7 linked regions of the Ovis aries genome follow. The protein of the gene in region 4 binds, or shares a complex with, the protein of the main gene of each other region. Links are inferred from orthologs where the notes say so. Each region holds a gene or a part of one and is shown on either strand. Other genes may lie near its edges.

The links.
Region 1: the proteins of RPA1 (region 4) and HELB are in contact, whole or in part, in a crystal structure (PDB 7XV1), measured with the Homo sapiens proteins. The link is inferred for Ovis aries from reciprocal best matches to the Homo sapiens genes RPA1 and HELB. Residues at the interface, in NP_002936.1 of Homo sapiens: Asn29, Ile30, Arg31, Ile33, Arg41, Arg43, Leu44, Leu45, Ser54, Ser55, Met57, Ala59, Thr60, Gln61, Arg81, Ile83, Asn85, Leu87, Arg91, Val93, Ile95, Met97, Glu120; in NP_001357214.1 of Homo sapiens: Glu496, Glu499, Val500, Lys502, Ala503, Cys504, Asp506, Phe507, Glu508, Asp510, Asn512, Ala513, Glu516, Trp517, Thr519.
Region 2: the proteins of RPA1 (region 4) and PRIMPOL are in contact, whole or in part, in a crystal structure (PDB 5N85), measured with the Homo sapiens proteins. The link is inferred for Ovis aries from reciprocal best matches to the Homo sapiens genes RPA1 and PRIMPOL. Residues at the interface, in NP_002936.1 of Homo sapiens: Arg31, Pro32, Ile33, Thr34, Thr35, Arg41, Arg43, Leu53, Ser54, Ser55, Met57, Asn85, Leu87, Lys88, Arg91, Arg92, Val93, Tyr118, Asn119, Glu120; in NP_001332824.1 of Homo sapiens: Asp514, Asn515, Gly516, Ile517, Asp518, Asp519, Tyr521, Phe522, Leu523, Glu524, Ala525.
Region 3: the proteins of RPA1 (region 4) and DNA2 are in contact, whole or in part, in a crystal structure (PDB 5EAY), measured with the Homo sapiens proteins. The link is inferred for Ovis aries from reciprocal best matches to the Homo sapiens genes RPA1 and DNA2. Residues at the interface, in NP_002936.1 of Homo sapiens: Asn29, Ile30, Arg31, Ile33, Arg41, Arg43, Leu44, Leu45, Ser54, Ser55, Met57, Asn85, Leu87, Lys88, Arg91, Val93, Ile95; in NP_001073918.2 of Homo sapiens: Glu6, Leu7, Glu8, Leu10, Met11, Lys13, Ser14, Phe15, Trp16.
Region 5: the proteins of RPA1 (region 4) and ETAA1 are in contact, whole or in part, in a crystal structure (PDB 8JZV), measured with the Homo sapiens proteins. The link is inferred for Ovis aries from reciprocal best matches to the Homo sapiens genes RPA1 and ETAA1. Residues at the interface, in NP_002936.1 of Homo sapiens: Arg31, Ile33, Thr34, Pro39, Arg41, Arg43, Ser54, Ser55, Met57, Asn85, Leu87, Arg91, Arg92, Val93, Ile95; in NP_061875.2 of Homo sapiens: Thr599, Trp600, Glu601, Ala602, Asp606, Asp607, Leu609, Leu610, Tyr611, Ala613, Cys614, Asp615.
Region 6: the proteins of RPA1 (region 4) and RAD9A are in contact, whole or in part, in a crystal structure (PDB 8JZY), measured with the Homo sapiens proteins. The link is inferred for Ovis aries from reciprocal best matches to the Homo sapiens genes RPA1 and RAD9A. Residues at the interface, in NP_002936.1 of Homo sapiens: Asn29, Arg31, Ile33, Arg41, Arg43, Leu44, Leu45, Ser54, Ser55, Phe56, Met57, Asn85, Leu87, Lys88, Asp89, Arg91, Val93; in NP_004575.1 of Homo sapiens: Asp297, Phe298, Ala299, Asn300, Asp301, Asp302, Ile303, Asp304, Tyr306, Met307, Ile308, Met310.
Region 7: the proteins of RPA1 (region 4) and ATRIP are in contact, whole or in part, in a crystal structure (PDB 7XV4), measured with the Homo sapiens proteins. The link is inferred for Ovis aries from reciprocal best matches to the Homo sapiens genes RPA1 and ATRIP. Residues at the interface, in NP_002936.1 of Homo sapiens: Ile33, Thr34, Arg41, Arg43, Ser54, Met57, Thr86, Leu87, Lys88, Asp89, Arg91, Val93; in NP_569055.1 of Homo sapiens: Gly53, Asp54, Phe55, Thr56, Asp58, Asp59, Leu60, Glu62, Leu63, Asp64.

What each region holds. Positions count from the first base shown.
Region 1 is NC_056056.1:153,678,658-153,683,284, reverse strand, and holds the start of HELB (DNA helicase B), read left to right. Parts: upstream 1-1,497; 5' UTR 1,498-1,538; coding exon 1,539-1,725; intron 1,726-4,232; coding exon 4,233-4,627.
Region 2 is NC_056079.1:14,255,535-14,259,591, reverse strand, and holds the start of PRIMPOL (DNA-directed primase/polymerase protein), read right to left. Parts: upstream 2,801-4,057; 5' UTR 2,623-2,800; intron 2,515-2,622; 5' UTR 2,368-2,514; intron 1-2,367. UniProt on the Homo sapiens protein: DNA primase and DNA polymerase required to tolerate replication-stalling lesions by bypassing them.
Region 3 is NC_056078.1:24,048,021-24,051,916, forward strand, and holds part of DNA2 (DNA replication ATP-dependent helicase/nuclease DNA2), read right to left. Parts: intron 3,394-3,896; coding exon 3,163-3,393; intron 1-3,162. UniProt on the Homo sapiens protein: Key enzyme involved in DNA replication and DNA repair in nucleus and mitochondrion.
Region 4 is NC_056064.1:22,818,040-22,821,935, reverse strand, and holds part of RPA1 (replication protein A 70 kDa DNA-binding subunit), read right to left. Parts: intron 2,973-3,896; coding exon 2,840-2,972; intron 976-2,839; coding exon 873-975; intron 1-872. UniProt on the Homo sapiens protein: As part of the heterotrimeric replication protein A complex (RPA/RP-A), binds and stabilizes single-stranded DNA intermediates that form during DNA replication or upon DNA stress.
Region 5 is NC_056056.1:40,912,438-40,916,333, forward strand, and holds part of ETAA1 (ewing's tumor-associated antigen 1), read right to left. Parts: intron 680-3,896; coding exon 567-679; intron 317-566; coding exon 1-316. UniProt on the Homo sapiens protein: Replication stress response protein that accumulates at DNA damage sites and promotes replication fork progression and integrity.
Region 6 is NC_056074.1:41,691,672-41,696,338, reverse strand, and holds the start of RAD9A (cell cycle checkpoint control protein RAD9A), read right to left. Parts: upstream 2,879-4,667; 5' UTR 2,761-2,878; coding exon 2,727-2,760; intron 2,645-2,726; coding exon 2,574-2,644; exon of another isoform or gene 2,561-2,573; intron 2,094-2,560; coding exon 1,965-2,093; intron 1,518-1,964; coding exon 1,403-1,517; intron 1,316-1,402; coding exon 1,216-1,315; intron 1-1,215. UniProt on the Homo sapiens protein: Component of the 9-1-1 cell-cycle checkpoint response complex that plays a major role in DNA repair. The 9-1-1 complex is recruited to DNA lesion upon damage by the RAD17-replication factor C (RFC) clamp loader complex.
Region 7 is NC_056072.1:51,443,690-51,448,121, forward strand, and holds the start of ATRIP (ATR-interacting protein), read right to left. Parts: upstream 2,908-4,432; 5' UTR 2,809-2,907; coding exon 2,568-2,808; intron 292-2,567; coding exon 161-291; intron 1-160. UniProt on the Homo sapiens protein: Required for checkpoint signaling after DNA damage. Required for ATR expression, possibly by stabilizing the protein.

The sequences.
Region 1 (4,627 bases), on a different chromosome or scaffold from region 4:
CTGTTCCTCAAAAAGTACCATGATTTTCAAACTTATGGGAACCATGGCTCCAGAATAACTTTTAAATCACCTCTTTCTCTTCTACTTGCCTTCCCCTATTCTTGTTTATACCCTGGGCTATAACTTCTTTTGCTCCACTGTGAGGCTTCCCCGGTAGCTCAGCGGTAAAGAATCTGCCTGCAATGCAGGTTCGATTCCTGGGTCAGGAAGATCCCCTGGAGGCGGGCATGGCAGTCCACTCCAGTATTCTTGCCTGGAGTACAGTCCTTAGGGTCGCACAGAGTCGACACCACTGAAGCGACTTAGCACGCACTAGCAGATGGCAGCTCAGCCTAAAGTTTGGGAGGCCAGGGTATACTCACAGAGGAAATGAGGAGCATTGTGAAAGTTATTGAATCCACTGCTTTCCAAATCTGGCTGAGCATCAAAACGAACAACTTGAGACGTGCGTTAAGTCCCAGCCCTAGATCCCGATACAATGGGTATGGAATGAGGCCTAGAGATCTGTACCTTGAATAAAGTGCCTTTGATCTTACAAATTCAACTTCTGAATAAAAAACAAGAGGCCCAAAGTAGTCACGCCTAGGCGGGTCTCCTGGCTGGAGATTCACGGCTTTGAGCTTTGGGTGTTGGCGGAAGGGCATTTGGATTTTTGTTTTCCAGTCGTTGGGAAGGGCTTGCTTTTCCTAGCTCTTAAGGCTTCCTTGGTGGCTCAGAGGTTAAAGCGTCTGCCCCCAATGCGGGAGACCTGGGTTTGATCCTCTGGAGAAGGAAATGGCAACCCAATCCAGTATTCTTGCCTGGAGAATCCCCTGGACGGAGGAGCCTGGTAGGCTACAGTCCACGGGGAGGCAAAGAGTCGGACACGACTGAGCGACTTCACCTTCACCTTAGGTTCAGTAGATTGACCTTCCCTCGAGTTTCTCTCTAGGCAGGAGACGCGGTGAGTTAGCGGCTCTGCAGGTGCTATTTATGCCGCGGCCTAAACAGCTAGTTTCCTCCCAGCACCAGGCGGAGCAGGGAGTTTGACTGTGCAGCGGGGTGGGAGAGTGCCCCGCCCCCTGCCCCGCCCCTGCCCCGCCCCTGCCCCTGCCCCGCCCCTGCCCCTGCCCCGCCCCTGCCCCTGCCCCGCCCCTGCCCCTGCCCCGCCCCTGCCCCTGCCCCGCCCCTGCCCCTGCCCCGCCCCCTCAGAATTTCGGCGTTCCATCCTATCCCGTTCCCTCCGCTGGGAACTTGAGGCGGAGCTTCGCGCAAACTAGCTTCCGGGGGAGGAGGTACATTTGTGAAAGCGCATGGCCTTTATCTTTTAAAACAAGTTTCAGGCGTACAGCATTATAGCTCAGTGTCTGTGTATACTAAAGCATGATCATCACCACAAGTTTAGTTGCCATCCATCTCCATACGGTTAACTCAAGTCACACATTTAGCCCACCCCCGGGAAGCCGAAGGTCCTACAGTCGCGGAGCTGATTGGCTGACCATGGGCGTCTCGCAGGCCGGGGTTTTCCGGAATTGGGGTCGAGCTCGGGACAATGGACTATGGCCTCGTCGAGTCAGCCCTTGCTGGAGCTGCAGGGACCACTGCTCCCACCCAAGGACATGGTGGAAGAGGAAGACGAATATTTAAGGGAGGACGCGGAGGAGGACGAAGACACGGTGTTTCTAGACGCAGAGGAGCTTTGCAGTGGGGGCGTAAATGCTGGTAGCCTCCCTGGGCTGCTCCGTGGTGAGGAAATAACTCGCTCCTCGGGGGTGGGATCGGCGGATTAATGAATTGTTTCTATTATGGCCTCCTCCAAAGTACTGCACTCCATCGCTGCTAACAGAATTCCTTTGGAATCGCCTAAGTGCTTCGTCCTGTTTAGAATAAAATAACAATAATAGCAGAGACTTGAGCAAATACTTTATGTTAAGCTTGGGCTTCACGTGAATCTCATTAATGTTCACAACTTTTTGAGGTAGTTTTATAAACAAGGAAACAGTGGGTGTCCAGCCAGTATTAACACCCCGAATCAGGGCTTTTAACTATTTCTTTCCTGGAGTCGAATATGTGGTTGCTGTTCAGCTGCTTAAACACACATACACGTGAAACACCACAAGCACTGTTGACTCATTAACCTGTTGTGATCTGTATTTATCTTGTCTAGTTTCCTGTCCTAAGAATTACACCTATTGTGTGTTCCTGGTGACTGATGTTTAAGAATGTTTGAATGTTCAGACCAGTTGCTGTCCAGTAGAATTTTCTGTGATGGGATTGCTGTAAATTCGAACTGTCCTATACAATAGCTGCTAGCCATGAGTGGTTATTGAAAACTTCAAATGCAGCTAGTGTACCAGAGGAGCTGAATCTAAAGTTTTAATTTTAATTAAATAGTCACAGGTGAGTAGGCAGCACAAGTTTAGACAGAAAATGTTTAAGTTTTTGTGGAGGGTTTAGTTATTCATCCTGCAAGTGTTATCGACTGGCTAAGGTGTTCCAAGCGAGATAAGTTTGTTGTTGGGGTACCCTGGAGAGATTAGATGATGAGGTTGCTGTCTTAATGGAGCTTCCCCTCTAAGTGCATTAAATAGGTATTTTACAAATAATCGCAGCTGTGTATGCTAAGTTGCTTCAGTCATGTCCGACTCTTTGCAACCCTATGGATTATAGCCCACCAGACACCTCTGTCCATGGGATTCTCCAATCAAGAATACTGGAGTGGGTTGCCACACCATCCTCCAGGGGATCTTCCCCATGATCCAGGGATTGAACCGTTGTCTCTTGTGTCTCTTGCATTGGCAGGCAGGTTCTTTACCACTAGCACCACCTGGGAAGTAACTATAATATCAGTGCTTAATAGAAATTGTATGAAGTGCCATGAGGTTATATTTATGAGATTCAGGGAAGGTTTTCTGAGGGAGTGACAGTTAATCTGAGTTCTGTAGTAAATGTGGTAAACAGTAAGGAAGAAAATATTTAAGGCAGATGCAACAGCTTTTGCAAAGACTAGTAGGAGGGACCTTGACTTTTTTTTTTTTTTTTTGATTGGAGGATAATTGCTGTACAGAATTTTGTGGTTTTCTGTCATACATCTACAAGAATCAGCCATAGGTACACCCATATCTCTTCCCTCCCAAACCTCCCTCTCGTCTCCCTCTGGATCCCACGCTTCCAGGTTGTCACAGAGTCCTGTTTGAGCCACACAGCAAATTCCCACTAGCTATCTATTTTACATATGGTATTGTAAGTTTCCATGTTACTCTCTCCATACATCTCATACTCTTCCTCCTCCCCTGCCCACATGTCCATAGGTCTGTTCTCTATGTCTGGTTCTCCATTGCTGCCCTGAAAATAAATTCATGAGTACCATCTTTTTAGATTCCACATATATGCATCAGTATATGATATTTATTTTTCTCTTTCTGACTTCACTCTGGAAAATAGGCTCTAACTTCATCCATCTCATTAGAACTGACTCAAATGCGTTCCTTTTTATGGCTGAGTAGTATTCCATTATATATATGTAATGTACCACAGCTTCGTTATCCATTCATCTGTCGATGGACATCTAGGTTGCTTTCATGTTCTAGCTATTGTAAACAGTGCTGCAGTGAACACTGGGGTACATGTGTCTTTTTGACCCTGACATTTTTTTTAGATACTCCTTGGAGGTCAGTATTGGCTGAGATCAGAGTAGCAGAGAGGCAACCTCTTTTAGGAGAGGAACAACAGACTTGCCAGGTACCAGGCCTCCCTCCTGGAATACAATGACAAATAAGACATTATCTTATTCTAGAAAGCTTACAGTGTAGTAGCTGCTGCTGCTAAGTCGCTTCAGTTGTGTCCAACTCTGTGGGACCCCACAGACGGCAGCCCACCAGGCTCCTCCATCCCTGGGATTCTCCAGGCAAGAACACTGGAGTGGGTTGCCATTTCCTTCTCCAATGCATGCATGCATGCTAAGTAGCTTCAGTCGTGTCCAACTCTGTGTGACCCCATGGACAGCAGCCCACCAGGCTACTCTGTCCACAGGATTCTCTAGGCAAGAATGCTGCAGTGGGTTGCCATGTCCTTTTCCAACAGTGTAGTAGAGGAAGACAGATAAACAGGTAAGTGGAATATAGACACTGCAATAGACACCTGTACAGGGAACCGTCCCGGGATTAAAGAGAGTAGTGGAGTTGACAAAACATTGGGAAAGATTTTAAATTATCCTAAATTAACATTTCCTTTTTTTTTTTTTTTTTTTAAAGTTTCTGTGTTTGATGAAAACACTCAGGAGAAATGTGACGTGTTTGGACGTTTTCCATTAACTGATGCTTGGTGGCGAGTGAAGGTACAGGTAAAGCCAGTAGGATCAAGGAACTATCGGGTTCAAGGATTTCCATCTTACTTTTTACAGTCAGATATGTCACCACCAAATCAAATCCACATCTGTTCCCTCTTTCTTAAAGAGTGTAATGTCTCCAGTGAGCAAAGAATTAAGTTTTTTACATGGTTAAATAATAAATCAAGGCATAAAGACCTCAATTTTGAAAATCTTATGGAAAACTTAAGAACATGGCAAGAGGAAATTGAAGGGAATAGTCAAAAACAGTCTACGCAGAAAACACAAGAGTCATCACCAGGTCATGAGATGCTGCTTCCT
Region 2 (4,057 bases), on a different chromosome or scaffold from region 4:
CGCAGAGAGTCAGACCTGACTGAGCACACACACACCAGAAGAGCTGAAGCCTGACTCCCAAGGTTCTCTCCAGCCCAGTTCTCCTAGTTTCTTTTTTGTCTAATCACAGTTCAGTTCAGTTCAGTTGCTCAGTCGTGTCCGACTCTTTGCGACCCCATGAATTGCAGCACTCCAGGCCTCCCTGTCCATCACCAGCTCCCGGAGTTCACTCAGACTCACGTTCATCGAGTCCGTGATGCCATCCAGCTATCTCATCCTCTGTTGTCCCCTTCTCCTCCTGCCCCCAATCCCTCCCAGCATCAGAGTCTTTTCCAATGAGTCAACTCTTCGAATGAGGTGGCCAAAGTACTGGAGTTTCAGCTTTAGCATCATTCCTTCCAAAGGAATCCCAGGGCTGATCTCCTTCAGAATCAATTTCTATTCCCCACTACAACTTCTCCGTCTGTCCTGAGAATAGTTTCAAAAGTATTTTGTGTTTTCCGATATATATGTTCAAGTTCTAATATTTGGCAATGTTTTCTTAATATCATTCCTTTTAGGGCCTCTTGTAATATATTTATACTATTTCTCCCACTGCTAAAGTATTCATAATAATGTGACTAAAACTTCATTTACAGTAATTCAGTTTATTTCCCAAATGAAATATACTCTTTACATAATTTAGTATACTAATTGACTTTTTCTTTTTTTCCCCCTTCCTTCAATCATTTTGTCTATGCTTGAACAGAGTAACTCAAATTTAAATTTCCCAAAAGTCTCCTGTAAGGAAGAAAACATTCAGTGATTCAGAAAATCAGAATTTTTCTGATTCTTTCACCCTTCTACCCTGCTCACAGGATTTCCCAACCAAACAGCCTAATTCTGCCAGACTAACCACCCTTAAAACCATTTTCAGTAGCCAAGACATGGAAGTAACCTGAATGTCCATCAACAGAGGAATGGATAAAGACATGTGGTATACATATACAATGAAATATTATTCAGCCATAAAAAAGAGTGAAATAATGCCATTTACAGCATCAGGGATGAATCTAGAAATTATCAAACTAAATGAAGTCAGACACAGAAAGACAAATATCCTACCAGATCACTCATATGTGGAATCTTAAGTATTTTTTTAAAATGATACAAGTGAACTTATTTACAAAACAGACAGATATTGCAAACAAGCTTATGGTTCAGTTCAGTCGCTCAGTTGTGCCCAACTCTTTGGGACCCCATGAATCGTAGCACACCGGACCTCCTTGTCCATCACCAACTCCCGGAGTTTACTCAAACTCATGTCCATCGAGTCGGTGATGCCATCCAGCCATCTCAAAGGGGAAATGTGGCGGGAGTGGGAGGAATAAATCAGGAGCTTGGGATTAACACATATACACTATACAGATGACAGACAACCAACAAGGACCTTCTGAGTAGCACAGGGAACTCTATTCAATATTCTTATATGAGAAAAAAAAATCTGAAAAAGAATGATATATGCATAACTGAATCACTCTTGCTGTACACCTGAAATTATCACTGTAACTCAACTATACTCCAATTAAAAAAATTTTTAAGGACTATTTACATAACTTTTCCACAATTAATCACTCATTAATGATTCAGAGCATCACTAAATGCACACTCAAGTTTACCTCAGTAAGTCCAAACTCTTCAAAATCTGGCCGGAAACCACTGCCCATTTGATGTCTTATTATTCAGCCTTCTCACCAAATGAACCATAATGACCACTGCCTGCAAGATCTGGCCCACTCCTGCACATTTCCCTCAGCTGGAGTGCCGCCCACCTTCCCCCAAAGTCTTTCCCCTGGAGGCCCAGATCAAGTTCGGACAGCTGGGAGGCACCTTTATAAAAAGAAATCTCAAAATTGAGAAGACACTGCCAGCTGTTTTCCTCTAAAGTTTCTCTAAGTAAATTAGTGCAATCTACACAAAAGCCCCTCCTACTGCTTTAACTGGAGCATCGTTTGATAAGCAAGTTTAGCACAGGAAGCGACCTGAGCCTCTTTATGGGGTGATGGGACTGGTTAAAAGAAGCTAGCCCACTAGTTATCTCTTACAAATAACTGCATGCCAACCACTGTTCACGTTGGGAGTAGGTCCTAGTCTTCAGTTTTATGCAGCAACAAAGGGACTGCCAAACACTGGTCTTCTCTCAATCTGGGAGGCATACAGGCTTTATTCCTAGGATCTGAGTTGCATAACCCTTACCAAGAGCAAACCAACCTTTTTAACCTTTTAAAGCCTAGGTGCGAACTGTTATTCCTACCTCCAGGGGTTGTTGAAAAGACATTACCACAATGTTAGAGCACAGATAAGCACTGAAGGAATGGTAGCCATAACACAGAACGAAGTAAATAATACCTGGTGGCTCAGATGAAAAAGAATCCGCCTGCAATGAGGGAGACCTGGGTTCGATCCGTGACTCGGGAAGATCCCCTGGAGGAGAGCATGGCAACCCGCTCCAGGATTCCCACCTGGAGAATCCCGTGGACAGAAGAGCCTGGCGGGCTAGTGGGGGAAGGGGCAGTGAGAATGGGCGGGAAGAGACGGTTTGCCCTCCCGGAAGGCCCGCTGGTAACGTCTTGCTCTCTACCCAGGGGTCCGGCCTCCGTTTACCTCCAAAACTTTCGCGGGGGGCGGAACCCGTGGCTCCTCTGCGGCTGGCTGGACACGAGCTCTGCCTCCGGGGCGGGACGGAATCTTCAAACCGAGCGCGGGAACTGGGCAGGAGCAGGAAGTAGGGGAGCGCACGGGCCTCTAAGGAGGTGGCGTCCTAGAGCAGAACCGGGACCACAACCAAGCAACAGCCGGGAACGGCTTACGCACCGTCGCCGGGACGCTGGAGCTCGCTCGACCCGTGAGACGGCAGAGTTGTCGTGCGGGGCGGGGTCTGTGAGGGGGCGGGGTTCCGGTGGGGCCGGGCCTTGAGGAGGCGGGGTTCAAGGGCGGGCGGGGCGCGGGGAGGGGCGAGTCGGGGTCTGATGGACGTGTCGGGGCTGAACTGAGCCCTCAAAGCAGAGGGGCGGGTGGTGGGCGGGGCCAGGGGCGGGGCCTGCTCTGAGGATCAACTCTGAGCGCGGCTGCGGCGGAAGCAGACCAGGAGTGGAATCCAGCAGAGCTGCAACGTTGTGGCTGAACGGTGAGTGATGCCGTCGCGCCGTCAGTCCTGGACTGGTTCCCTCCACCACCACCCCCTGCCCCCAAGCCCAGCGCCTGCCCTGGGGACCTGCAACGGCCTGCAGCTACCCCGAGGAGGAGACAGGATGCAGGCACGATCCGGCGGCGGATCCTTTGTTTTGCCACGACAGCGAGGGCGGGAACGAGCGCTGAAGCCCGCAGATGCAGAGACACGGGGCTTGGGGGGGGGGGGGGGACTGGAGGCCGGGCCGGGGGACGGTGATCCGGCTGCAGGAGCCGAGCCCCGGGGGACCGAGAATGAGCCGAGGATAGAGGCTGGATCGGGGGGTGGCGGGAGACCGGCCAGACAGCCGGAGGCTGGGGAGCGGAGACCTGGCGGCAGACGCCGAGCCCGGGGGACAGGTGGCCTGGCCGAGAATGGGGGGAAGGGGGGAGGGTCGGGAGACCCGGTCGGAACGCTGAAGCCTGGTAGCAGGAGGCTTGACCCTGGTGGCTGAGCTGGGGGAGGAGAGGCGCGGGAAGGCCAGGCGGGAGCGCCGAGGCTGAGTGGTAGAGGTGGGACTCGGGAGAGGGAGGCAGAGGAAATCGCAGGCTGAAATTTGAATAGGAAAGGTGGTGAGGAAGAGTGAGGAAGATGAGCGCGGTGGGTAGATGGCCTGAGGGCAGGAGCCTGGCTGGCGCTGTTTCCGAGGCTTTGGCCCTCGGGGCTTATCCTCCCGTTTCAGGCGAGGATTTGGCCTCTGCTGCCTTTGTCTAGAATTTTTTTTTTCAGGTTGAAATGGTGTGACTCTGCTTTTCAAAGAGGTGATTTCAAGTGTATGCGTGGTCAGTCGCTCAATCGTGTCCAACTCTTTGCGACCCCATGGACTGTATAGCCCGCCAGGCTTCTCGATCTAGGGCATTCTCCAGGCAA
Region 3 (3,896 bases), on a different chromosome or scaffold from region 4:
CCCCCAGCAGGATCCTGAGCACATGGCCCCTGCCTCCTCAGGCCTGCAATACATGTCTCTTTCCCAAAGGCTTCTCCCGCTCCGCTATCAGGCTGACCTGCGATGTTCCCAAGGTCCCTTCCAAGGTCCCTTCCATGCTCCTCTGTACTGTTCTTTCTTGTCATTTCCCTACTGGTACCATGGCTCCACCTGAGTCTGAATCCCAAATCTACATCACCAGGCCTGACCTAACATTCCTCTCTTACCCCATTTCTCACGCAAGCTTCAGCTTTGAATGTCCAGCAAGCAGCAAGATCTTTCCACTAAGTTAAAACTCAGGCAGTGAAAGTTTGCAAAACGGGACAGCTTTTTATCCCTGCTGAAGCCTTCTCCTCCTCCTGGGGACCTGACCTCAGGTAATGGCTCTTGCATCTACATGACTGTCTTTTTTTTTTTTTAACATGACTGTCTTGATCCTTCCCTCTCCCACCCTGCAGATCCAATCAGGATCTCAGTGTCAGACAATTTTACTTTCCAAATACTTCTCAAAGGCATTCCACCTTCTCCGTCAAAACTACCTTGCTCCCAATCACCTCAAGCCTGGGCCACTATAGCAGGTTCCTATAGCAGGCCACTTAGCAGGCCACTAAGCCTGGTTCCTCTGCTTTCAGTTTTGCCTCCACTGATTAACTCTATTCTCCACAGTGCATTCACAGAAAAACTGCAAATCTGATTATCATTCTTTTGTTCACTTAACATGGTACATAAACCCTTCTATGACGGGACCTCTCCAATAACTCCTTTATCTTTTACATTGCAGAAAGCAGTTACTACCTACACTTTCCAGAACACCCCACCTCACACCATCAGGCCTTTCCACACCCCGTGCCCTCTGTCTGGTATACGCCTCCCACGCTGCTTCACAGAGCTAACATTCCACCACAGGATGAAGATCTAGAACAACCCTTTTCACTCGCCTTCCCCGAGCCTCCTAAAACTGGGTTAAATGCCTCTCCTCTGTTTCCCATTAATTCAAACACTTGTCATATTAGACTGAAAGATATATTTATTTGTTACCCACAAGACTACAAATTCTTCAAGAACTTGCAAAATATCTAACACGTTAGGTACTAAATAAATACTTCACAGGACGGACTGAAGGGACTCCTAAGAAACAGCAGAAATATCACGGCTTATACACCAATATCATGAAACCTGGGCTAGGGCTAGTTACTGCTTAACCAGGATTACTGATTACTGGAAAGCAAGCCTGGAAATTTCCACTGCAGTTACCCTCTGGATCCCAATTACTGATCTCCACCCACTGAGAAATGTGACTCATGCCTGCACTTAAATGCAAGGAAGGCTGGGGGTCCAGGAAGAGGGGAATACGGATATTAACGAACATGGATATTAGCTTCTACCACAAATTTTCATACCAACTATTCTACTATTTACTTAATATTTTTCTTTAAATTAATTTACTTTGTTTTAATTTACACTTTATATCACAACTATAAATGGAAAATGGTGATTGCAGCCATGAAATTAAAGATGCTTACTCCTTGGAAGGAAAGTTATGACCAACCTAGATAGCATATTAAAAAGCAGAGACATTACTTTGCCAACAAAGGTCCATCTAGTCAAGGCTATGGTTTTTCCAGTGGTCATGTATGGATGTGAGAGTTGGACTGTGAAGAAAGTTGAGCGCTGAAGAATTGATGCTTTTGAACTGTGGTGTTGGATAAGACTCTTGAGAGTCCCTTGGACTATAAGAAAATCCAACCAGTCCATTCTAAAGGAGATCAGTCCTGGGTGTTCTTTGGAAGGAATGATGCTAAAGCTGAAACTCTAGTACTTTGGCCACCTCATGCAAAGAGTGACTCATTGGAAAAAACTCTGATGCTGGGAGGGATTAGGGGCAGGAGAAGGGGATGACAGAGGATGAGATGGCTGGATGGCATCACAGACTCAATGGACGTGAGTTTGAGTGAACTCCGGGAGTTGGTGATGGACAAGGAGGCCTGGCGTGCTGCAATTCATGGGGTTGCAGAGTCAGACACGACTGAGTGACTGAACTGATAAACTAATAAATGGAAAAAAGCAATTTGAACAAAATGGTGAGCTCCCAGAGGGCTAAGGAGGAGAAATAAGCGTTACAGCCAACACAGGACATCTGTCCTGCCTGCTGCACACGTGGTTGTGAGAATTATTTAGGTAAGATTCCATCCGTATTGTGCTTCCCAGGTGGCTCAGTGGTAAAGAATCCACCTGCCAATGCAGGAGATGTGAGTTCAGTCCCTGGGCTGAGAAGCTACCCTGGAGAAGGAAATGGCAACCTCCTTCAGAATTCTTACATGGAAAATCCCATGGACAGGAGCCTAGTGGGCTACAGTCCCTGGGGTCACAAAGAGTCGGACACAACTTAGCAACTGAGCACACACCCACACACACATGTCCACATTACTACTATGGAACATAATGTACTAAACAAAACTTTAGCAGTTGGATAACTGCTAAATGCCAATTAACATATAGGCTCCCCAGGTGGCACTAGTGGTAAAGAACCTGCCTGCCAATGTAGGAGACATAAGAGACTCAGGTTCAATCCCTGGGTTAGGAAGATCCCCTGGAGGAGGCCATGGCAACTCACTCCAGTATTCTTGCTTGGAGAATCATCATGGTTAGAGGGGCCTGGCATGCTACATCCATAGGGCTACAGAGTTGGACACGACTGAAGTGACTTAACATGCACACACTGAACTGTATGTTTAAAATGGTTAATGGTTAATTTTATGATATGTGAATTTTATCTAAAATTTTTTTTAAAGGCATGAAGCACTGGTACAATCTACTACATGAAGATGAACCTCAGAAACAGTATGTTAAGTAAAAAAAGCCAGTCACAAAAGGCCACACAAGTGTATGAATCAGAAAAGGCAAATCTATAAATATAGAAAGGGAACTGGTGGTTGCCTAGGGCTGGGGGAGTGATTACAGGGTACAGGGAGTCTTTCAGGGGCAATGAAAATGCTCTAAAATGGATTTTGGTGCTGACTGCATAGGTTGGTGAATATACTAACCACCACTGAATTGTATACTTTAAATGTATGAACTGTATGGTATATGTTTACTTATCGATAAAGCTTTACCCTCCCCCCCGAAAAGGGAACATTTCATCACCTGTCTAACGAACAGGTTACTGTTGTTGAGTTAATCTCCTTCACGTATCCCCTAGACAAGGCAAACAATGTTCTCTCTTCTCCACTTAAAATAATTCTGTCACCTGCCATTAGATTTGTGATAGGTATGGCTCCACTTTTACGCTGGAAATTATGTAAATACTGTCCATCACAAACTGTCTTTACATGTTCTGTTCTAATCAGGCTCCCAATGCAGCTGCCACTCTCCTCCCTATGAAAGAGAAAGAAAAAGAGAAATTAATTTTAAAATACTCTCTCGGGGGACTTCCCTGGTGGTGCAATGGCAAAGACTTCAAGCTCCCAAGGCAGGGGACCTGGGTTCAATCCCTGGTCAGGGCACTAGATCCTATATGCCGCAATGAAAGATTCCTCATGCCACAATGAAGACAGAAGGTCTCATGTGCTGCCAAATAAATAAATAAAAATTTATTTAAAAAATAATAACCTCTCGGGACTGCCCTGGTGGTCCAGTGGTTAATGCTCACACTCCCGCTGCCGTGAGTATGCGTTTGATCCTTGGTTAGGGAACTAAGACCTTACAAGCCACGTGGCGAGGCAAAAAAAACCAAAAACCTCTCATCACCAGATCTCTAAGCAGGTGCTAGAGAGCTCCCCCCTTTTTTTGAGGGGGGAAGAATCCCCCTCACTGTACCGCCAGGTGGGATTTCTGAACAACATGCTTATCAGCACTTTGATTCTTGACTGACACCCCCA
Region 4 (3,896 bases):
AAAAATGTTAAAATAAATCATACTTTCAGGTTGCTCGTGATTGGATTTTCACTTGTACTTTCCTGTCAGTCAAAATGCTACAGATGGAGAAGAAACTTAAATTAACAGCTGAATTTTTAGCCAACTGACAGATGAGACCAATAATTTGGTTTAAAAAAGGTGGATTCTGACTCAGTCAATACATTGGCGGTGTTATCCCATCTTCAAAAAAAAAAAAAAAGAAACAAATAAAAAAACAAACCAACTATTTTTTTCTGCCCCCTTAGAGATTTGAACAAATAGGAAATATACAGCCATTTGAAAAGAATGCCTGAAGTATATACTAGGGATTTTAAGTAAAAAGAATGGTCGGAGATATAGCATGACAAGACGCTTGTTGAGATGCCACTACTTGGATTTTTCATCTCTCCATTGTGGTTTGGTTTCGTTTACATAAAGCGCAGAAGTCTGCGCTGCCAGAATGCATCTCTCGCAAAACCAACCACTTATCACTTGTCAAGGCTGCCACGTGCCTTCTGTTGTGGCCCAGGGCTCCATGCGGCTCCCAAGGAGACATCACCTCTTGGGGCTTTGACTAAGCCTCCTGGCAAGTCAGACAATGTCTCTGATTTCTCCTGCCTGTGAGACTACTCACATCTAGAAAACTAATGTCAACTGCTATAAATGCTTCCGCCTGAGACCAAGGATTTTACTTATGACTGAACCCCGTGCCCACAGACGGCATCAGAAGGTTACCAGGGAAGAAAGACAGCAGCAAGAAGCATGTTTCTTCTTGGCCTACTGTTATCTCTCACCTCACGGGCCTGCACAGAGGTAAGCCCTCTGTTTCCCAGAGCTGAGGACTCTTCTTTCCCCACCTGACAGATACTCACACTCTCGTCAACCAGCTCTATGGAGAAAAGCTTTCCTTCCCCTCGAGAGTTGCTCCAGGTGCGGATCTGACTTTTGTTGGTGACACGAGCACAGATAGTCCACCTAAAAATAAAAAACGGATCATCTCAGTGTCGGGAGTCTTACTTGGGAAAGATCTGAAACGTTCCCTCCCTATTATCTTCTTAGAGGCTTTCTTACCTTATGCATATTCTATTTTCCAGGGGAAGCTGTATTTTAATCCAGCTAATTAAAACCCCAGGATGACATCCAGGTTTGACAGTTTATAGAATAAGCAAATAGTAAAACACACAAGGTGATTTAACACTGACTCATTCTCCTGTCAAATAAGTAAATTTATAAACGCTTTCTCTTCTCCAAAAGGCATCACCAAGGCAACACTATCCCCTTAATGAAAGGTTCTAAGCTAGAAAATGCAGTAATACCAGCAATTATATTTTGCCGCTATTTTCAATTATAGGAACTGATATAACTGATGTCAAACTTCTGTCTCACTTCCAGCGCACATGGAATGTAAACACAAGGGTATGGAACATGGCATTGGTTAAGCCACCAAAAGAAAACACTCTCAAGCACTATGATTTTAGACAGAAGCCATTAAAAAGGGGGGGGGGGGCGCAAGGTCTGATATCCAATCCTGGTGCCCATCCCACGTGTAGCTACTGGACACATTAGCTACCCTACTCATCATTTCACAGGGGAACAGCCCTTCCTCACATTGCCAACAACTGAAGAATAAATACGTAAATAATATCTGAAAGAACTTTGAGAAGAGCACAAATTTTCAACTGCTAAAATGTTTAATGAAAGGAATCATATAAAAGAAGTATCTGTTCAGTGTATATGAATACAGTTGACACAAATACATTCTTTTTTAAAAAAATTTATTTACTTTAGTTGGAGGCTAATTACTTTACAATATTGTAGTGGTTTTTGCTATACATTGACATGAATCAGCCATGGGTTTACTTGTGTTCCCCATCCTGAACTCCCTCCTACCTCCCTCCCCATCCCATCCCTCTGGGTCATCCCAGTGCACCAGCCCTGAGCACCCTGTCTCATGCATCAAACCTGGACTGGCGATCTGTTTCACATATGGTAACATACATGTTTCAATGCTATTCTCTCAGATCATCCCACCCTCGCCTTCTCCCAGAGTCCAAAAGACTGTTCTATACATCTGTGTCTCTTTTTCTGTCTCGCATATAGGGTTATCGTTACCATCTTTCTAAATTCCATAGCTATGTGTTAGTATACTGTATTGGTGTTTTTCTTTCCGGCCTACTTCACTCTGTATAATAGGCTCCAGTACACACATATTCTTTTAAGCCAACCAAATTGCAGTAATAATTTTTGGACTGAAAGTCATCTATTTATTTGATGAGAAGATGAAATGCCTTCTGAATTAGAACAAAGATTTATTTTTACTCATCAGACTATCAACTGGTTCTTAAAACTCTGTTGTTGCTGTTTAGCCACTAAATCGTATTTGACTCTTTGCAACCCCATGGACTGTAGCTCGCCAGGCTCCTCTGTCCTTGAGATTTCCCAGGCAAGGATACTGGAGTGGGTTGCCATTTCCTTCTCCAGGGGATCTTCCCGACCCAGGGATTGTACACACGCCTGTCGTCTCCTGCACTGGCACTCGGAGTCTTCACAGCTGAGCCACCAGGAAGCCCCCCTTAAAACATTAAATCTTTTAATTTTCAAGTTCTTTTAAAATGAATGAAGTTCCATAGGCTATGGCTGATTGCTCTTTCTGCCATTATTTTATTATGAAATAGTTAAAGGTTGCCACAATTTGTAACCCTTCTGGAAAAAAAAAAACACGGAGGAAACCTATTTTATGCATGGTAACCCTGAAGTTCACATATGAGTAACTCAAGAGCCCATAACAACCTCTTATACTCCTCAGTTCCTTCTAAACGTATTCTATGAAATAACTCACTTGGATTGGTATGGGGTGAGGCTGGCAATGGGTACCACTTTGGCCTGTGTTCCCCCAGAGCTGTTCACTTGGCTGGTACCGCCAGCTTTTCCAAATGTCTTTGAGGCACCAAAAGCCTTAGATGCAGTGGAAGCTTTAAAATCAAATACAAAGAAGGACAATCATTATTTTATTTAAATTTTATGGTAAGTTTTGTAAGAACTCTTAATTTACTAGTGACATCATATAAAATGAGAAGCCAAGGTTTTCCTTTTAAATAATCAAGAGATCTGGAAATCAAACAGAGACTGAAACGGGAGACTAGAGTGAGGTCTAAAATGAAGGCTGGGTGTACAGATGTTCAGGACTGAATCTGCTGACCTACATCCTGAGGTTGAGATAATTAGGTAATGAATCCAGACTCTGCTATTTCAGAGATGAATCTTTAAACTTTTCCCTTGTATCAGTAGGCAAGATAATAGGTTGGAGAAAGAAAATAACCTTGACTGAGAAGTGAAGACAAGCCACTGGTTGCATAAGAGAAAGCAAGAAGGAAAGGCTGGGAATTAAGGGACACAGTGGGGGAACCATCCGAAGTGAAGAGTACCTATTACAAACAAATCTCCTCAAAACACCCCCAGAAAACTCCCAGCTCTCAACTGGTCTTACAGGAACAGATCATCTAGAATGAAGTTTATGGGACTGGGTTTAATTGGGAGCAAAGGGCAACGAATCAGTCTTCTGTTTAAGATGAACAGGGGTCGGGGGGACTGGCTATCGTGGCCCCTTCTTGCCTCCTTTTCATCCAAGCCTACACAGCTGCCTTGCACTTGGGAAGAATGTGTCATTATGTAACACCTATAAGCAGAAGAAGGCCTTTACATGCACGCTGTTTCTATTACGATTCAACCTCCAAGTTCAGAAGCAATAATTTAGTCCAATGATTTAATATCTTCTATACCAAAATATTTCTTCAACATGGCATCCGGGTAGAAATGCGTATCTTCCATTATTCAGAATTTATTTACTGAGTTTCCACAGCAAGCACCACACTATTCTGGGTACTTACAGCACTTGG
Region 5 (3,896 bases), on a different chromosome or scaffold from region 4:
CATGGCAATAAAGGCTGCTTCAGCATTTTGGTCAAATGGCTTCTGACTGCTGGTTTGATCATTTACCACAGGTATCTTGGTGTTTTCTTTCACTGGCTTCTTTATTATAGCCTTATCTATTTCAGGAACTATATCACATGGTAACTGCATCTGTATATTATCTCTGTAATTATGTGAAGTCTCTGCTTCTGAAATCATCTGGATAAGATCATGATTTCTCTTGTCTTGCTCTTGAATCACATCCAGCTCTTCCATATTTTTATCAAATTGCTTAGCTAATTTCATAAGTTCTTCCTCTTGATTTTGTGATTTTAACCTATTAAACAAATATTTCAAAAATTATGTAGATATTCTAAATGTCATAAATACTCAACTGTTATTTAACATATTTTAATGTTAAAACTCACAAATTTTAACACATCCAGACATAAATAAGTTCAAAACATTACATGTCAAAGTTAAGGATAATAATTTATAACCATTTTGACATACACACAAAACCCAACCAAAATACTAAAAATATTTACTTCATTGAATATAAGAAAAACTGAAAAGTTTAAACTTACTTTGTGCAGCTGAGTTTTGCTCTTGATTTTCCTTTTGCTACACTTGGAGTGCAAGGAATAGCAGTGTCACCAATCCACACGCCCAGCATGGAGTCTGTTGTTGGTTTCTCATCCTTTGGCAGAAGGACGAAAAAAAAAAGAGATGTGAAAGTACAAAAACAACTAACCAAACAAAAACCCACTTTAATTATGTAGAATTATTTTCTTAAAGGAGCAAATTCTGGTAAAGTGACAGCAATTAAACAAACTTCAAAAACAATGAAAACCTGGAGGATAGTAATAACAAGTTGTAAGAAGTGATCTACTTGCTTTAGGGAATGAAAACACTCAGAATTGGGAATTCCATATTTTAAAAAAACTTTTAAGTTTTTAAGAATTTAATTAGAAATGCATGTTAGTTGCTCAGTCATGTCTGACTCTTTGCGACCCCATGGACTATAGCCTGCCAGACTCCTCTGTCAATGGAATTTTCCAGGCAAAAACACTGGAGTGGATAGCCATTCCCTTCTCCAGGGGAACTTCCTGACCCAGAGATCGAACCCAGGTCTCCTGCATTGATTGCGGGCAGATTCTTTACCATCTGAGCCACTGTGGAAGCCACTGCAGAATAGAAATACATATTCAATAATAAAAGTACATATTTTTATCAAAAGAAAACTGATCAACTTATTTGTCGTAAGACATTGATAAAAATAAACATTAGTACTAGAAATAAACTGTGCAGTAGGAATTATCAGAATTAGGAATAAAAAGATAAATAGGGAGTTCTTTCTGTATTACCTGAATCTCCAAATTTTCCCTATTGCCATTATAACATTCATCTAAGTTGGACAATCCATGTTGACGTGAACTGACAACATTTAGATAGAACTAAGAAAATTTAGCATTAAGTCAGGACAGGTTAGAGATAATGGCAAGATTAGAACTGATGCTGTGAATGAGGTAGGGAGAAGAACAAAATTAAGTAGAGAAAGTGGGTAAAGAAGTTTTAACCAGTATTAAGGCTAGAAAAAAGCCATCTTAGTCATACATGTTTCTTTTATACCTTTTAGTCACTTGATCATGCACAAAATTAGAGAATGAATTTATTATTAGTTACAAACCAAACCAACAAAATAAACAAGTTAATCATTTTCTACTCTATGTTTATAGTACCTGGAATGAATAAACAAGTAACTGTCACACAAAATAATCTAATTACTAGATTACAGATTACTTGAAGGCAAGGACAGTTTCTGTGATAGCTCAGTATCTAGCAAAATGCTGAGCATAAAGATGTCAGTTCAAGTTTATACACTAGAAAGTTAGGTGATAAGTTGCCTACCACTTGGTACTTCAAAATCATCAATCAATCAAAAAGTAGTTTCCTTAGATGTCCAATTGAATCTAGCAGTTTTCAGCTTTGCAAATACTCAAGAAAAGCAATAATTTTGATTTTAGACTCAATACATAACTTCCCTTTTGTTTCAACAATCTTGAATTTGGGAAGATAACATTCTTAATGATTTAATTATGGATTTTTTTGGTCCATTTACCAAGTAATTTTAAATTCACTCCATTTTTAGAGAATAAAAGTATAATAACTTTATATATCCAGTAATATAAATATATGGGTCCTATATATAGTTTTTATATTATTTGTAAATGTTACATTTTTTAAAATTCCTCATTAATAATTACATAGTACAACCCAGGTGCTGTAGAATGTATCTAAGCACATTAGTTCATTTAATTCTAAAGTATACTGTGCAGAGTTGTATAAAAATGATAGAAAAATATATACCATCTTCAAACAAACAACACTGCATGAAAAGTATCCCGAAGAAAGTAAAATGACTGATCAATTAAAATAAAAATGCAAATTAAAAAAATGTCATCTCAGGAACTACTGCTGTTTGTTGTTTAGTCCCTAAGTCGTGTCCAGCTCTTTGTGACTAAATGGACTGTAGCCCACCTGGCTCCTCTGTCCATGGGATTTCCCAGGCAAGGAAACTGGAGTGGGTTGCCATCTCCTACTCCACAGGATCTTCCTGACCCAGGGACTGAATCCACGTCTCCTGAATTGGCAGGTGGATTCTTTACCACTGAGCCACCAGGAAAGCCCCATCAATTAAAAAAAAGTTTAAATTTTAAAATATATCTCTGGAACTATGAAGGTGATTTAAATAATTATTTGAGGAGGGTAACTCACCTATGCTGTTCTGGAACATGACAAGTTCCTAAACAGACCTTGATATTACCAAAGATTTATATGCTTTAAAAGTGCTCACTTGAAAGGGGTACCATTTAAAAGCAACTAATTTAACTGCATTCTTATACACAAGTTATCACTTGCATACTGCTGCCGTTTCTTTATGTGAGCAATTATTTCCAGCCTACTTAAGTAAAGAGTTCAATAATTTACTTACCTTTTTTATCACTATTTAGGCTGGCCAGTCCAGACACATTTTATTATGCTTCTTTCGTGTAAAATCAACAATTTAATGAATATCTATTGTTAACTTATGTAGCAAGTAATATAAGGCATGCTGTTGCTGTTAAGTCACTTCAGTCGTGTCCGACTCTGTGTGACCGCATAGACGGAAGCCCACCAGGCTCCCCCGCCCCTGGGATTCTCCAGGCAAGAACACTGGAGTGGGTAATATAAGGCATAAATGCTATTTAACTAATGAACTCTATGTAAAATGTATTTCTATGACATGCCAAAGATGGAAAGTAGAGCTAGTAGCAACATAGTTCTTTCGACTGTCCTAGTTGTAATTTTGGATGTTTTATAGCCACTAAGAAAAACTTTATTTCCTGTCTCCTCCACCTGGATGGTGATCCTTGTAACCACAGTTTGGGCCAGTGTCATGTATTGTTTATGGTCAACATACAGTCACTATCTGAGGCCACATCAAGGAAAATACCATACTTCCTGTGAGGACACTAAACAGAAATTGGATGTTTTCTGGATGTAAATGTTGCCATATAAGAAAAAAAAGAAAGAGGTCCAGAGCAGAGTGACCTATTACTCAAGCATCACAAAAGCTGAAATAAAGAAGAAACTTTTGAACACAGTTCTTTTACAGCAGATAATTTAACTATCATACTAAATTTTAATATACCTAATATTTGTAGTAGTCTATAGTTTACAAACAATTTTTACCTAATTCAATCATAACAATAATACGAGAGCTAGACAAGTAATAATTCTATTTTAATAACTAAATGAACTAAAGTTCAGATAGTTTAAGTGACTTGCTTGTATGTGTGCATATGCTCAGAAAGTCCAACTCTTTGAAACCTCATGGACAGTAGCCACCAGGCTCCTGTCCGTGGAATTTTCAA
Region 6 (4,667 bases), on a different chromosome or scaffold from region 4:
CTGCCTCACCCAAGGTTCCCAGGATGTTGTAGGAGAGCAGTCCTCTTGCAAGAGATGGAGGCAGACAAGAACAGGCCCACAGAAGGCAGCAGGAAGTTCAGGCGGTTTGTGCTGAACCGAACCAGGCAGGTGGCACCTGCCCATCCAGGATTGGGAGACCAGACCCACATTGTCCGCATGAACACCGCCTTACAAAGAGTCCTCAGGTCCCTGTCTAGTAGAGACAGGCTAGTAAATAGTTTCAGGTGAAATAATACCTGGAATTTGCCTCAAGACAACTGGGACAAAGCTGGTTATCATCTGCTTTTATATGAATTTGAAATTGTCCATAAGATAAAGAGAAACAATCACTCGTTTTAAAAAAAAGAAAAATTCTCAAAACCCAGACCATGGATTGATTCTTTCTCTACCCAAAGGGATCCTAGGTAGTGCTATTTCAACAAAACTCAGAAAAACAAAGTCAGGGCTCAAAGGGACCTTCAGGTTACCAGGTCCTGCGGCTACCAAAAGCAAAGAAACGTGAGACCTTGGGTTACTTGAGTGCAAGGTGCACCCTGCACGTGGGCAGGTGGGAGGGGACCCAAGCCTCTGGTCTTCTCTAGGGACCTTGGCGTCTGCTGGGCTCCCCATCTCCCAGGTCTTGTACGGCCCCTGTGACTGCCCAGAATGGCTCCTCTCCTATAGCTGATTATTCAGGCAGCCCTCCAGGACCGTGACCTCCCTGTCCAGCCGTGGCCTGAGAACCCCTCAGGGATAGAACCCAGCCAGGTAGGAAGAGAGGCTGCCCTTGAATGGGACTCATCCCAGAAGGATGACCAGGTCAGAGAAAGGTCACAAGTCCCGGAGCCACAAAAATTAACGGACCTTCAAAGGCCAGAGGAGATGTGAGGGCAAGCCGGAGACCTGTTCTTTGAAAGAGGAGTCAGAGTGGGGCTGAGTGGTCAGAAAGCCAAGTCAGACTTTGAGGTGGAGAATACAGACTCAGGAGACAGAGAGGAACATGGGATAAGGGAGCATCTGGCCCCTCCTCACTCCAGCCTCTGCCCTTAAAGGGCCAGGCAAGGCCCTGAAAGCAAACTGGGTTGGATGAACGCTTTGAGGTTCACAGATACCCTGCAGGAAAAACGGAGGAGGTGCCTCCTTAAACTGACTCCTGAGGCTGAAAGAAGGAAGAGAAAAGCCTAGGGCTCAGCGTGCAACCAGGGGCGTGCTCACCTGGCTGGGGCACGGAGCACATGGGGACACAAGGCTGGGTCGAAGATGGCCTGCAGGGACTCGCAGTCCTGGAAGGACAGGTTGTGAGTCTTCCTCACCCCTGGATGGGCAGACAGGGTCTCAGCGGGCTCACCAACCTCTAATCCCACACCGCAAGGACCCCTGGATCAGCCAGCTGCTCACTCACCATATTTGCAGTGCAGCTGAACTACCAGGCGGCTGCTCCTGTCATTCAGGGAAATGCAGCATTTCTCCACAGTCTTTTCCAGCATTGCCAGCGAGCGGAAGACAGACAGGAAGGACTAGGCGAGGGAAACACATCCGCTCAGCACTGCGCCTCCGCCAACTGGCTCTCATGTCCAGTCGCCTTGGGCTCTGGCCCATCATGGGCTCAACACTGTCACACCAGGAAAGGACCCCTCACACATGCAGATATCTGCACCCTTCCAGGCCTTCATTTGTGCTCTTATCCTGGTCTGGAATGCCTTCAAAAGACCTGCGTATCTTTCAAGGACCAACCTGAGAGTCATTTACTCCCTGCAGGTTCCTGGCAGATTCAGCTACCCTCTCCATATGGCCCGTTACCCCCATGGATGTCTCTACTTGGCCAGGCTCTGCGTTCTGCACCGGACTGCTCCAGTATACATCTCTCCTCCTGCAGGCACCTGCTCTGTGCTCCAGAGCAAACTGCACTGCCAAGAGGGGTTCCTGGGGGGAGTGCCCTGCCACTGCTGAGGGACCCACCTCACCTTCATCAGGATCTTACAGCGCAGCTGGTCCTGCCCAGGGGTGGCAGCCTGGTACTGCTGGAAGAAGAGGGGGGCAAAGAGGAAGCAGGCGTAGGCCGAGCGGGAGGAGTTCACGGTCCGGAGGGAGAGCTGGGGCCAGGAAAAGTGGGGAGAAAGATGTGGTCACCAGCAGTGCTGGGCCCAGCCCTCAAGCCAGCTTTGCCCAGGCACTTGCCCCAAAGGCTTCTGTTCCACCATCACCTGCAGAAGCCCGCCCTTTCCTTTCAGTCATTAGGGGTGTCCTCCATGAAGCCTTCCCCGAGTCCCGAGTGGGCGTCAGCCCCGCCGTTTCCACAGCAAGGGCGCGACCCAGCCTTCAGCACCCACGCCTTTTACCTAATCACCCCCATCCACCACTGGGCATTTGAGGGAGGGCAAGGGCTCTCGATTCAGACACCGGCCTAGGAAGATGACAGGGCCCAAAGGGACACCCCAGCAACAGGGGAGGCCCCTGTTAAACTCAGCAAACGTGCCCACCGGGCACCCTGCCTGATGGGGGCGAGACTCGAGCCCCGATCAGGGCTCCCTGTTGGGACTTTCACGCCATTCCCCCATACCCGGTCTCCTCACCCCGTCTTCCAGGGGCTCCAGGTAGAGTTCGTCCCCGATGCGGGACAGGGAGTGGACGGCCTTGCCGAGCACTGCGGGGAGGAGAGAGACAGCGGTTTGCGGGCGCCTCGGGCCATCCCACGTGGTTCCAGCCCCCGGCCGGCCCCGACTCACCCTTCACGTTGCTGCCCGTGACAAGACACTTCATGCTGCCCGCAGTGACCGGGATGGGGCGGGCGGGGGGCTTTGGGCCGGACCCCAGCTCAACGATCCGCTCCGGGTCTCTCCCGCGGCTCCGGGCGGTTGGGGTTCCCTTCCCGCGCACCGCCCCCGGCAGCCCCGCCCCCGCCCTCTGATTGGGCCGCAAGCCGGCAGCTCCGTCACGTGAGAAAGACGCTCGCCGGCTGCGCCGTCACGTGACGGAGGCTGCGCCCTGGGCGGGCCCTGTCACGTGACCCGGGAGCGCCGGGTTCCTCCGTGCGGTCTAGGCCCACTCTCGGCCCTCGAGCGCCCCTGTGAAGCACGGCGGGCAGCCGGCCCCACCGCGGCCCCTCACCCGAACGCGAGACGCCCAGAGGGTGTCGGGGAGCGAACAGTGAGCTCGGAATCCGGAGATGTGCGGGCGGGCCCGGCCCGGGTCACTAATTTAGTACGGATTTCCTGGACGTTTGTCGGGCGCCGGCGGGGTGCGTACGGGGTCGATGCAAGACCGTCTCACCCCGTCCGGGCGGGCCGGGGACGCGGACAGAAGCAGCAACTGCCAGCTCCGAAAAGATAGTAACGCACCTTGCTACAGGATCCCGGGGTGGGAAGTGGCTGCTCGCCGTGGCTTCTACGATCCTTCTTTGATCCCAAAGAACAGAAGCTTCCCCGGACGAAAAGGGGTAGAAAGATTTGGCCAGCAGGAGAAGGCGAGAGTCAAGACTCAGCAGCACGTGGGGGCTCTTCCCTCCGTTGGGAGGGAAGTGGGTTTGTGAGAGGAGGGCTGCTGAATGATGAAGGTCACTGATGGAAAGCACTGGAAACATTTTATGAGGATAGACTCCTGCGTCTCTGGCCGTTGGAAAATGACCAAGAGAGGGTGCCAAAAGAGGGGCTTAGTTAATCCCTGGGTCGGGAAGATCCCCTGGAAGAGGAAATGGCAACGCACCCCAGTGTTCTTGCCCAGAAAATCCCATGGACCGAGGAGTCTGGCGGGCTACAGTCCATGGGGTCACAAAGGGTGCGACACGACTGGCGCCGGTGGGACACAGCAGTCAGCCTGGCAGGTCTTCCCTCGTCCGCAGCCTCGGTCCGCAGGTGTGCGAAGAGGAGGGCAAGTCACGGAGGGGCTCCTGGCCTCTGGTTTCTTGCAGCACCTGGTGTGCTTTGAGGGACCCTTGGGCACCCCTGCGTTCCTTTAGGGCCTTGCTCCTCTGGCAGTGTTGCCAGTGAGGAAGCCACGTTTGTGGGACCGTTACCCTCCTGCTCCTGGTCTGCAATTCTGGACTCCACTTCCTCTCCTTACGTCAGGTTTCCTCCCTTATCAGGTTTCCCTGGATTACTGGGGGAGATTATTCTTGCCTTTTAAGGGGGTCAGTGTAAATGGTACCACTTCTACGCAGGCATTTAGGTCAGTAAACTGGGACTCATCCTTGACTCCATCCTGACCCACCTCTTACATACTGCAATCCTTCAGCAAGCCTGAGCGCTCTGCCTCCTAAACAGATGGCAACTTGGTCCTCCTCTCCCATGCCCACAGCCATCATTCTGGCTCAGGCCACCATCATCTCTCACTTGAGTGTTGATGGGAGCACTCTGAGTGGTCCCCTGCCCCTCCACTGCACTCTCCATACAGCACCAAAGTGACCTTCTTAAGATGTCAATCATGTCACACCTTTCCCCGGTTTAGATCCTGCAGTGGTTTCCAACTACTGCACTTGGCAGCAGATCTAAACCCCTTGGGAATTCCCTGAGGATCCACTGGTAAGGAGTCTGAGCTTTCACTGCCTAGGGTGCAAGTTCAACCCCTGGTTAGGGAACGAACCATGGCCAAAATAAATAAGCCACCAAAAACTAAACCCCTTACCCCAAACCTGCAGGAAGGACCTGGCCCTGCCCATCTCTTCACCTGTC
Region 7 (4,432 bases), on a different chromosome or scaffold from region 4:
ACCAAAATTTTCTGGCTTTCTTTCCCCAGCTTTCTCCCAATTCACGGGGATGAATCTGGACTCTTGTCTTAAAACTTTTCTATATTTTATTGTATACTGCTTTCTAACACATGCATAAGTGAATGCATTAACTACAAAAATGACAAGTTAAATCCCTTACCTTTTCTTTAAGTTCTTTGTATTGTGCCTGAAGTACCTCTAATTCAAAATTATCTTTAACTGGAACACTTTCTCTGTTTTTTCCTGCAGGATATTTTGACATCCCATCTAATCTGGTGAACTTATGAACATCTGTAAAAAACAACAATCAAGAAAAATCAGTTCCCATATACTTGTTAAGGCTCAGTATTTTCCCACTTTTAACAGCCAGTGCTGAAAACAATCACTTTTGAAAGCAAATGAGAGAAAGATCTAGTAAGGAGAATAGGTATTTTCCAACATAAGAACATGATTCAATCCTTATGAAATAACAAATTCTGCCACCCTCTCCCCATTCCACACTCAGTTTCTTGTTTTTTTCCCTGCATCCAGTTTTAAGGGTCTCAGCTAAGGGCTGAAAGGTGCTGTGGGAACCTCACTGTTCGAAGCTCAGTGATCCATTATTCAACAGTATTTACTTAGCATCTACAATATGTCAGGCACAATTTAGCCTCTAAAGAAAGCTACAGTGATGAGAGAAATGGATACAGTCCTTACACTCATGGAGCTTACATGGCAATCAAAAATATAAGAATAAACGTAAAATTACGACTGTTATAATAGCTGCAGAGAAGAACAAACAGAGCAATGCCTGTAACAGGGGATTTCATCCACAAGGACGACTGGAAGCCTTCCCGGCTGCTAAGTCGCTTCAGTCATGTTCGACTCTGTGCGACCCCATAGATGGTAGCCCACCAGGCTCCCCTGTCCCTGGAATTCTCCAGGCAAGAACACTGGAGTGGGTTGCCATTTCCTTCTCCAATGCATGAAAGTGAAAAGTGAAAGTGAAGTCGCTCAGTCGTGTCCGACTCTTAGCAAGCCCATGGACTGCAGCCCACCAGGCTCCTCTGTCCATGGGGTTTTCCAAGCAAAAGAATACTGGAGTGGGGTGCCACTGCCTTCTCCAGAAGCCTTCCCTAGATAAGTGATAACTGAATGGAGAGCTGAAGAACAAGCAGGAATTAACCAGAGCAGTGGCGATGGGGAATGGATGGAAAGAACACTCAACGTGTAAGAAACAGCAATAGGGACTTCCCTGGTGGTCCAGTGGTTAAAACTTCACACTTGCACTGCAGGGAGGGTGGGTTTGATCCTTGGGAACTAAATCCCACATGCAGTGCAGCAAAAAAAAAAAAAAAAAGACACAGCGTGTGCAGTTTCTGTATTGTAGGGAAGCAGGGAGAATTCAAGGAATGAAGGAAGGTCAGTGTGGCTAGAAACCCAAGAGGGAAAGGGTCAGGCCACGCTGGGTCTTCCGGGCCATGTTAATGATTTTAATCTTTATACCGGAAGTGTGAAGTCATTCAAGGCTTTCAGTAGGGATGTTCACTGTGCATCTCTGTGTCACAGAGATTTTAGTTTTAAAATGATCACTCTGGCTGTGGTGTGAAGTCTGACTTGTAGGAGTCATAACCTGAAATATGTACACAATTTAGTGGACTTTTGTCCAGGGGAGGGGTGATGGTAACACAGATCAGGGAGATGGCAGAGATGATGCAGAGGATGGATTCTTGGGATGGAAGAAAAAGGTAAAGGTACAGGATTTGGAAAGGGGCAATGGGGATGTTGGCTTGTGGTATGGGATGGAAACTGGTGCCAGTCTTCACCATGCAGAACATGTGTTCATCAACATGTCTTTTCTGAATGTCTGCTTTGCCAGGCATCATGCTGGAGATGCTGGCAGATGACTGGATTTCCAGGAAATGACTGTGTGGAATTTAACTTGCCTACAAGACATCCAAGTAGAGATTCAAGGTACCCTCAAAACCTTTCTCTTCCAGGGAACCCCATAAGACGTCACTAGAATGAGTGTAAGCTCCAAGAAGGTGGGGGCTTTTGTTTGTTGCTAAGTGTCTGTAGCTTCTAAGGTTTGGGGACGTAGTACAATTAATTGGTTGTATAAAAAGAATAAGTCTATCCTATCTCTTGCCTCTGCCAGATCCCTCTTGTGCTCAGGCGGTCCAAAGGAAAAGGTGGTCTTCATTCGATCCAAAGCCTCCCAAATATGTCATAACCATGGGTCCCCATGTGTAGGTAAAGATGCTTCTTATGGCTGTGATAGATGTGTTGCAAAGATCTCTGCTGAGAACTAAGAACCCAGTGGTCCAAAGTATAGAAACCCAAGTAAAATGTTAACCTAGCTTCCTACATTCCAAATCGGCTGTTTGACATTCCTGATACATTTCTCCCCTCAAATCAAAAGACCTCTTGGGACACACAGCTGCTTAAATCAAACTGTTCCTAGGAAGGGGCAGTGTGGGTGCAAGACACCGGAACGGTCACTGCGGGGTTGCGAAGGCACAGCCATCTGGGGGGGGGGGGGGGCTAGGGAAGTCTGCACCACTCTCAAGGGGAAAAGGCGAACTCACTGGACACGTCCCGAGCCGTGGTCGGGCACTGGCTCAGGGCCTGGGACGCAAGCGTGTCGAGTTCCTCCAGGTCGTCGGCGGTGAAATCCCCATGCAGGCCGAATGGGTCTTCGGGGTCCGGGGCGGCGGGGATGCCTCGGGCCCGCTTGCTCGGAGGGTGCCCGGTGCTGGGCGGAGGGCCAGGACTAGGTGCCGGGGGCCCACTTCGCCTCCTGCTGCCTGAAGCGGAGATTCCAGCCATGCCTGCCTCCGGCTGATCTCTAAAGACACTGAGCCCGGCCTATACCCGCGTGGAAGGAGGGATGGACCAACCGCCCGCGCGCCGTGGCTCGCCTCAGCCGCCGGGACACGCCCCCGAACCAACGAGCCAATCACCTGCCAGTTGGCGGGCGCGGAGGAATGACATCATCAGAGCGCGCCGCGATGCTCCATTGAGTGCCCGCTGAACCCTGTTGCTTCCCGCCCTTGTTGGGCCCAACCTCGCCTGGCGCTCTGGTACCGATTGTTAGGATTCGGTAGGCCACTGCGGTGGTGTAAGCGCAGCGAACTGAGTTACCTAGGCAAATTCACCAGCTCCACCACGCAAGTAGCTGTGTCTCCGCTCCCTGACATGCCCTGGGGTACAGAGCAGCGCTTGCTGGAGGTCGCCCAGATAGATATTCAGCCGTGCAATGTGAATCTATGGCATTCAGACTTTTGGTTTTTGTGACCTCGCTGTCCAGCCAGACCCACTTCTCAAATACCCCAGGCTCTTTTGAGGAGGAGTGTGGAAGAATGGGGTTGGGCTAGGAGTTAGGAATAGAGCTGTTATGAGCACTCATCTTCGAGTACAGTAAATGTTTTGAATGTGTACATTTGGTGAAAGTCTGAGAAGGGTGTGTTTGTGTTGAAGGGTGTAGGAAGTCCTTAGGCTGTTAATATTTATTCATTTCTCTGGGAGCTCTTAAGTGTCTTTGTTCCAAGTGCTGGTAATATGGAAATGAATGAGACTCAAGAAGTCAAGGAAGGTCCTATGGAAGTAGCAACTGTGCTGTCCTACAGGTTAAGTGGAGTTATCAAGAGGTATTAAAGAGGATGGCATCAAGATTACTCAGACAAGAATACAACACTGAAATGGAGGCCACACAAGTGCCAGGTAGGCGTTATCAATGGCAAATTAGGAAGGTAAGGTTTTAGAGAGGAGCAGGGATTCAAGCTGGGCTTGAGTAGCTGACAGGCTGCAGTCCATGGGTTACAAAATGCCAGACACAACTGGGTGACTAAGCACGGCACGGTGGTGTGCAGGACATTTAGCAGGAACAAGGTGTTGGAAAGTAATGGGCAAGACTTTTCATTCATGTGTCGCTCAATTGTGTCTCTTTGCAGTCCCATGGACTGTAGCTCATTAGGCTCTTCTGCCCGTGGAATTCTAACTTAGCCTATGAGTATCCTATGAATATTTGGGAGGGCAGTGAATGAAAGGGAGATAGTTGTTAGGCCCTAGAGGGTCTTCAGTACCTGGCTTTAATTTTTTGAGGTAACTGGTAGGTTCCCTCAGATAGTCACACAAATATTGGATGCTTATCTTAATTGCTCCAAGTTTCTGGTCTCGTAAAAACACAAGATTATACTTCGTAAGTGCAGACTGGGTTCCATCAAATAAAACAGCAGTAGCTTCATCTCAGGGGCAGTATGCTAGCTCTGGCTCTCTGAAGGGTTATTCTCAGCAGCACAGGGAAGGGTGCCAGCTGGCAAGTCCCGTAGGGAATCCCTGAAGTCCAAAGAGGATGCTACTGGCTGTGTAACTTTCCGGGAGACAACCAAAGCGGGATGTTTATCTTTCACTAGTATCAAGTACATCTGAGTGGTAATACAAGCTTCAATCT